Linked DNA regions of Bombyx mori. The protein of the gene in region 1 interacts with the protein of each later gene in a pairwise test. Links are inferred from orthologs where the notes say so. Each region holds a gene or a part of one and is shown on either strand. Other genes may lie near its edges.

Region 1 (4,533 bases):
GGTTTGAGGATTAATTACAATGAACCTCTTTTCAATGCTTGATAAAACCTAAGTTCTAATTAACTTAAAATTTACGTCATTCAGTTGAAAGGCTCGTGTCATATTTTAACGGTAGGCAGCGGCTTGAGTCTGCCCCTGGCATTGCTGAAGTCCAAGGCCAACGGTAACCACTCACCATCAGGTCGGTCGTATGCTCGTTTGCCTAGAAGGGCAATAAAAAAAATCGTGAGACCTAAATACTAAATTCTCTATCTAAGATTTTCTAATTTTGTCATAACCCGAGTCCATGTTGATTGATTGCGAGGCTCGATTCAAAGCAACAACTTGTTAACTCATTTCAATAAAGTTAATATCAACAGGTGGAAGTCGTATCGCCATCGATACCGACCTGTTCAACTATACTATATGCAAATTCAAGTCTGGGCAAACTTTCTAGTTTTAGTTTGAAGAAGATTTTCGCTAAAAATAGGATTCGTGAATACAACGTCTGATGAAATAAGTTATCTTCTCGGATAACGATTTGATAGTTTTTTTATTATAATTTTATGTTAGAGTTTTCAAATATATACTCACCTTTCTGATAAGTAAATTATACTCAGTTTAAAGTTCTGCGTTTACTTTATTTCTATAACTCTATTAAGATTTTGCTCCTTTATGTAATACATATTTCTATAATTAATGTGTTTAATGAAATGCGTATAAAAAACTTATACCAAATACCTTAAAGTTAGCAGATTAAAAGAAAAACTTCGAGGTAAAAGCTAGACAATACCAAACATTTAGACTAGACATAGTAGTCCAGATTTTCATTTTAAATATTCCTTACTTGTTATTAAATCAGTTAGTTTCCGCGAGTGCATAATATAATCATTTTGCTGCAGCATTGGGTTACAAAATTGGTCGACAATGGACGACCAGGCCATATTAGCCGGACTGACTGATATCATAAGATCCTCGGAACTGATGCTATTAATTCCTGCATTTTGTCAAGCTGTCGGTATAAATGTAGCTATTGAACTAATCAACTAAACCCCCCAAACGATGAAATATTTTTTCCTACCTTTGCTGATAGCCTTGAGTGGCTATTTCAGCTTTACCCTTGCGTGTAGGTGAGCTCTCGTGGCTCAAACCGGAGTGTTGCTAACACCGGCCCTAGCAAGAGCAGTGCTTCACAGAATCTACCACCGGATCGGAATCGCAACTGAGAAGATCCGGCGAGAAACTCAGTGGGCTACGATCAAGTGAAAACATACTTGTATTTTATACATATCTTCTCTCTTACGTTACGGCGGTCAGCGCTATCAAAAGCTCAGTAAAACCGGCGATAGTTGATAAGTGTCGAACAAACACGATAACGCGGTTTTCGTTTCACAGGCGCGCTCGGCTCGTGTTTAGGAAATCACAGCGAATAGCTGGTATTAGTAGTTTTTAGTTTTGTTTTGTGTTGATTTAATGTTCTTCAGGTTTTTCGTTTTAGTTTAACGCGATACCGACTCTTGAATAGGTTTTTAATGATTTCGTTTAAATAATCTTTTATTAGCTTGCTTCAATTGGTTGGTTGTAATCTTAATGAATTGTCAAGTATATTTCCGACGAAGAGAAAATCGTGTAGGTAACGATTGAAAAAGTTATTTGTGTGCGTTGTACAAGAATGAATGTGCAATGTATTATTTGGTTTTAACCACAAAATAATTTCCAAGCTGAAGATTTAAAGTCGTTTTAGACTAGCAAAATTTCATATTCTTAATTTTTAAAATATAGCTGTCAATTTATTCCCTGTTATTTCTTTAACAAGAATCTTCTTAGAGCGGTAATTAAGATTGAAATCATCTGAGTTCAGCGGATCTTGTTTCTGTTAAAATGTACTTACTACTTAAATTATTAAACATTCAAAAGGGCAATCAATTTTGTTTCATCGTGCGACCCTTTTTTTCTTTGCTACACTCTCGCTGCTTATTCGAAGGCGATTTCTATTTCATTGATTTTAGCGTCATGGTGGAATCGAGTTGAACATATAAACAAAATAGGAAAAAGTGCCCTGATCGTGTTATCGGTCATACATTTGTGTGAGGTGCTGCTTTGATAATGATGTGGCGTCACGGGCGGTCACAATGGCGTGTTGTAAATGGTACCGTTTATCGCGAGTTTCGATAATGCACACCGAGGCAACGAGTCCATCACGAACAATGGCCGGCGCGAGGCAGCACGCACCGTTACGCAACCCCGCCTTGTGCCAGTTTTTCCTCTAGTCAGTTTACATACAGATTCTAAAATTCGTATCGTCCTGAGGATGACAAGTTATTATGAACATCAAAATGCAGAGCGAGCCACCGGGCGTTGCGCGTGCACACGTCCCGCGCCCCCCGCTGCCGGCGTCCCCTCCCTGCGATCAGCTGACCGAACTCTCCAGCGCCCCCTGCTCGCCGCGCCGGTGCGTCACGACTCCACGTACACACCGCCGCCCACTCGCACCACCAGCAAGTGCCGAGCGATGAGCTCTCTTTCGCCGCTCGGACTCATAATATTAATTAGACCGCCAATTGATACGAAGTTCGACACAACGAGCCCTTATGAACCACGGCCAATTCTGCGTGTACGAATAGAGGTGAACGTGCGACGCGTGGCGTTCTGCGAGTGAATTTCAGGCTTTCTTTGTTTACGCGGGGTGAGGCGAGCCGGGAGCGCGCGGGGGACGCCGACCGCGTGCCACTCAAGGTCAAGAGCGTGGGGCGCGGCGCCACACGCAGCCGGCGCGGGCTACTCACCGGCCTGCAGGCGCCGCTCCTGGAGCTCGATGTACCGCGCCGCCTCGAGTAGCGTGTCGAGGAGGCTCATGTCGACCGCGGCAGGCGCGCGCGGTCCCGGCGCGCCCGCTGTCACGCCGCGACTGGCACGCGGGCCCGGTGCCGCTCACGTGGCCGCTGCCGCCGCCGGCCAATGGGTGTCGAGCGCGCCGGTCACGTGACGACGCCGGCCGACCAATAAACATCATCGTAGCGTTGACAAGGCGCGGGGCGTGCGCGATCGATGTCGTTGCAACCATCGTGAACTATCGCATGCATGCCCCCGCCCGTAAGCCGGTGACGCGGCACGTTCCACACTTGTTTATCTGTTATTTTTCCTGTGCTATGTATGTACGTGTCGCCAGTCGTTATTAATGCTAGCACGATGCGTTATTTTGGACGAAAACCTAAAGAGATTCGCAGCAAGTCAACGAAACCCCGCGTTTATCATATTGCGACGAGTCTGTATACGTGCGAGACTTCGACCGACTTTCACTTCCTCGATAGCCGCTCCACAACATCAAACAAGTTGCATGAGTAAGGTGAAGTGAAAATGTGTTATCGGCTTTTCATTATGCGTATTTCTAAACGCATTGTGTCAATGGTTGTAGACAGTAAGTAAAGTTATAAAAGATAAAATATCAATCATCAAGAACAAAGGGATGTGATATGATGTAATGTAATAGAATGAGTAAACTAAACAAATAAGGTGCTCACATACATACTTACTTATCTTCAAGTACTTTTTGTGTTTCCATGTGCCATCTTCAAAGAATGTTTAATTACAACTACAAATTATTTTAGTTAAAAGCTGCTTGACTAAAATATATTGTACCTATGAACAATTGAATGATAAAAATGCATTAAAATGCGATGGATGGCGATGGTATCAACTTCAAGGAAATTGTACAAATACCTAATTTAACTACCTATGTATTTAAAACCTTTCATTTTCCTGTAACTGATGATAGATAGTGTCACCTATATAAAGTAGCTATCGCTCAATGTAACTTCATAATTATAGTTGTTGAACATAATAGGTAGGTATGTATGTATGTAGATATTTAAATGTACCTAAGTATTTTATTTGATAATTGGCTATATCGATCCGCAATGTCCAGATGTAGTACCTATATTTTATACGCTTTATATGCCCGTAATACAAAATAACCATAATATAATGTAGATACAAATGTATTTACACTAAGTGTTGATAATAATTACTAAATGCACTCACTTTTTTATTATTTACGACGAATTCACGGCCGTCCTGGTGTTGTGGTAACCAACCAAATTACACCGTGCCGGAGCTCATAAACAAGAACTTAAACGCCGCAACCCACCTTGAGACATGAGGTCTAAATCTCTGTTTTATAGTTACAACGGCTGTCCCACCCTTCAAACCGAAACGCATTACTGCTTCACGGCAGAAATAGGCGGGCTCACCACCATACAAAGTGCATAAGGTATCCCATACTATCATTTCGCACTAATACAATTGTTTTTTTTTTTACTACCTATGCTGATAGCCTTGAGAGGCTATATCGCCCTAACGTGTAGGTGAGCTCACGGGACTCAAACCGGAGTGATGCTAACACTGACCTTAGCAAGAGCAGTACTTCGCAGAATCTACCACCGGATCGGAAACGCGACTCACTGAGAAGATCCGGCGAGAAACTCAGTGAGCTGTGTCTGTGGGGTATTTCGCTCGTCGAGCTAGACGACGGGTTCGACGAGGACGTTGACCGGT
Region 2 (4,381 bases), on another chromosome or scaffold:
TAATAAACTTAAAAATATTGTAATAGGTACCTAAACTTTAAATAGGGTCTTTGTGTGTAAATAAATGCATCCATAACTATTTTTGTTTTGTAACTTATATTATAATTATATATAATGGAAAAATCCATTTTGAAGAGAATTAGCGTAAGATACGTTTTTAGTAGTAATCTGCTTCACACAAAGAATATCTATAACAAATATAAAGTCTATTGGACAGGTAGATTCAGAGATCTCATCATCTCAATAAAATTAAATGACTTATAGTCTCACGGGTTTTCTTAAAAAAGTTATATACATACATACCACTTGAAATTTGTCTTGGTCCGTCAGCCTTTGCTCATTCAGACCAGGTACGGAATGTTGAGCTTTAACAATTTGTTCATAATTTGCTTGCATTATACGAAGAGCGACAACATCTTTACGCAATGCATTGCGCTCTTCTTCCTGTCTACGACGCTGTTGTAACAAATACTGGATGTAGTCAATTGATTTCTGAAGGACCTGCAAGTTAGGTTAACTTATTAAGAAGTGTAAGCTTTTTTTTTTCCAGAGTTTAAAATTATAGACAGGATAGTAATAGTTACATGTAATAATCAAAAGAAGCAAATATTAAAAAAATATGGTTTGTATGTTACTTGAACAATGCTGATATTTTATAATTTGGTTTATCTGATTGAGGAAGGATGATTTTTTACACACACAGTTACAATGGTGTTGCCCAATTTCACTGAGTAATACATCAATGGTGCATGCAGGCTTTTTTTTTTTTTTATAGTTAGTTAATAGTTCAAAAACTGTTTAACTGTAATATGTTTACATTTAACAAGCTATCTATTTTATTTACTTTGTCTGTTTATTAATTTAAGTGATTACAGCAGTTTTTGTACAAGCATTTAGGTAAAAATCAGTCTCAATTGATAATCCAGCCCAAAATAAATAAAATAACTAAAAACAGAACAAATTAAAGTGAACAAGCACTTTTAAGGTTTATTGATTAATTGATATTATGGACCATATGGTGTTATGAAGAATCTGGAGCTTGAGTCATAAGGTTTAAGTCTCAATTGCTTAGTATAACAGCTTTTCTACCTTTCAAACTAGACTGCTCTGTTATGGAAAAACGGCAGGAACGGCAGTTAATGAGAGTAGGTGTTCGTACTACGCTGGTTTAATAGATACTCGGAGAAAATATACAACAAATAGGCAAATACCACACAGCCAGAGTTTGAATAACAGGTTAAAAAGCTTGTATACCAATATTATCCTTTCTAAAAATTTACTTCAATTATAACCTTTAAGCTACGTTTAAGGTTAAGACACAATTATTAATGAAGTTAGAATGCTGCCACCCATTGTGAGATAGAAGTTTCTAATTATTTTTTAAGATAATCTGGGATAGCTATGATCACATTATATAATAATAAATATTTGCGCAGCAGTCCTCAACTATAATAAATATCATTATTTGTGATAACACAGCCCTAACATATCTGAATGATAAAGTCTACAAGGTTGTTCAAATTTCATAAAATTGATAACCTCTTATTTACACATTTAACAATTAATTTGATAAGAAACTTAACATACTGCAGCTTTGCTTGGTTTGTAGCCAGACGCATCACTCTGCTGACAAGTAGGCACAAGGTCTTGGAGTGAATCATAGCCTTTCTTAATTGCATCTCTTCTTTTCTGCTCTGCCTGAAAAATGTAAAAGTTAGATAAAGACTATTATAAAACCAGTATTTTAAATTAAAATAAAACTATCAGTTCTTGTTCTTTGAGTGCCCAAAATGCACCCACAGGAAGAAGTACTCCTGATACCTAATAGTTAATAACAATTATGTATTAACATAGAGAGAATATGAAAATAGCCCAAAGAAAATATATAGGAAAGTCTACTGAGTATATTAAGCCAATTCTTTTTTTTTGTTTAGTGATAGTGTTTACTTTCACATTCAACAAGTGTGCATTGCTACAAAAACTATCATTTCCATTTAGTAAAAGATTAATAATCTGTATTATAAATTCAGTAGTCCATTTAATTTTTGTTAAATCATCTCTTAATAGCAGTGATTAGGTGATATTACTAACCTGTGTGTGAGCTTCCCTTCTTCTCTCTTTGAAACTGAGTGCAGATGCCTTGTTGTCACCACTGTCATCTTCATCCTCTATACAAAATAATAACATTCACAGTAGGTACAAATATATTTCATCCATTTGTTATCAATGAGTGCGAAACGAAAATACAAATATGTCGCTTAAACAAAAATATGTAAAACAAGTTTTAGAAAAAGTCATTACCTGTGTTTTGATTTGAGGAGGACGGCGTTTGATGTATGTTTTGAATAGATCCGCTACTGCCACAACGAGGATACATATTGGGATATTAATTGTTATAATGAAACTTTAATAAAATAAAACATTACATTAATGCGATCTTTCACTTTTCGGAGTTCATGGTGCCTTGTTCCATTATTTCTATGTAGGGTATGAAGAATACATTGATAACATTATAAATATAAGATAGTCTTGGACAAGTACTTCATGACCCGAATTAAATCACTTTTGAACCATGTGGTTACGTAACATTTACGTAACGTAATACTAAAATCAAATTTCAAATTACTGATAACTAAAATACAGTATTATTTCCGACTTTTGGTACAATTACGTACATAAGTACCTACATAGGTAGGTACGAGAATTACGTTTAAAATTATTTTTTTAAGGGATTTTATGACCTGGTAACTAAGACCTTTAGGTCATGTCTTACTTTACTTTATATTCTTATTTTTATGAAAAATGATAATATGGAGTGAAATGAAATTAAGATGATTAATTTGAGACGTTAATCAACTGGGATGAAATGAAATAAAATAAGATGATATGGGTTGAAATATAATCTCAGTAAAATGGTGGTCATTTACTGAGATTTTTTCAGTGGACATTTTGGAGGATCTCGAGAAGTTGCGTCCGGCGGCTTTGTTTCGTTTTCCCACATTTGTGCACTTTCATAGATATTGAACAGTTAATAAACCACCGTTATTACACATTTAAATCTTAAGAAACACTAAATAGACAAAATGAATCAAATCACACAACTTCACTCCTCGCATTCCCGCCAAAAAGTCAACGTTTAAAATATTTATGTCACAGCACAGATGACTGTCAACGTCAACATTTTCTTTTTTCAATATGGCAATCGACTGCTCATGATGCCAGTTCTGCAAGCAACAGAAAATACACATATGAGTAATTTTAATTTAATCAAGCTTATAAAATCTTCAAAATTATGCATAAATTAATGTTGTAGTAGTGCTAGTTATATTTATTTATTTATTATTATATATTATAAAGGGTGTCCTAGAAAGGGCTTAAAAAGCCAAAAGTTCTAGGCAGTGTTTCTCAAAAATTAACATGTGATATCAGTTTATTAAATAAACACATACTGACGACAGTCACAACATACAGAGTTCTTACGAGTTAAATTTCGTCTTACATCTTTTTTATTGAATTAGTAGAATCTAACTCCAATCGAAGTTACTGGCGTGCTTAGCGTGCGTGTTGAATGATGGGCACTAATTCTTGTTTCAAACAGGATAGGAGGCCCAGGATTTGTCCTTCATATGTCAAAGCTGTTTATTCACATAATAATATCAAAGAATGAGTTCCGCTGCGATAACAACATAGCATCAGATGAGCCGAATGTTTATCAAATAACGTACAAGAGTAAAATAAGTATAGTATAAAGAAAAAAATTAGTAATATTCACCATATTATGTATGAAAGCCGTGGTGTTGTATTTTTAAAATGTTGCAAATTGTTGCATTTTAAAGGAATCTACATTTATTTATATATGAATTCACTTTTCGGCTGTTAAATATTAGAAAATTTGCTAATCTTCTAAAATTGATTAATGCGAATATGTAATGAATTGGAATTAAGCAAGTTGAGCTAAAATGAAGTATAATAATAATAATATAAATATAAAGGGTGGAAATTTATTTATTTATATATATTATATAATTGTATATTTATTTATATATTATTTTATTTTATTTGGAAGACAAACAGTGAACTTAAACCATATAAAATCTAACCTTACAACTAAACACCATTTAAACGTCTCCGTATTTAAATAACTACAAACGATTGTGGCGTCGCAACGCCTAGAATTAAATAATTAAAGTAAAACGTAAAACAAAAACAAAAGTAACAACGATTTGAAAAAAAAACCCAAGAAAAACGTAATACTTAAATAGAAAATAATTTATTTATATTTGCATTCAACCATCGACTGACTAATGTTCTCCTAATATTATTTATTAATTATTATTATTATTATTTATGTTATGTTTATAAATGTAGATTTTTAATGTGA

Evidence for each region.
Region 2: the proteins of max-binding protein MNT (region 1) and max-like protein X interact in a two-hybrid assay, tested with the Homo sapiens proteins (2 studies listed by BioGRID and IntAct). The link is inferred for Bombyx mori from reciprocal best matches to the Homo sapiens genes MNT and MLX.

What each region holds. Positions count from the first base shown.
Region 1 is NC_085122.1:12,275,912-12,280,444, reverse strand, and holds the start of max-binding protein MNT, read right to left. Parts: upstream 2,884-4,533; 5' UTR 2,836-2,883; coding exon of another isoform or gene 2,766-2,835; 5' UTR 1-2,765. UniProt on the Homo sapiens protein: Binds DNA as a heterodimer with MAX and represses transcription. Binds to the canonical E box sequence 5'-CACGTG-3' and, with higher affinity, to 5'-CACGCG-3'.
Region 2 is NC_085115.1:6,335,696-6,340,076, forward strand, and holds the start of max-like protein X, read right to left. Parts: upstream 3,127-4,381; 5' UTR 2,378-3,126; coding exon 2,302-2,377; intron 2,169-2,301; coding exon 2,092-2,168; intron 1,699-2,091; coding exon 1,588-1,698; intron 502-1,587; coding exon 304-501; intron 1-303. UniProt on the Homo sapiens protein: Transcription regulator. Forms a sequence-specific DNA-binding protein complex with MAD1, MAD4, MNT, WBSCR14 and MLXIP which recognizes the core sequence 5'-CACGTG-3'. The TCFL4-MAD1, TCFL4-MAD4, TCFL4-WBSCR14 complexes are transcriptional repressors.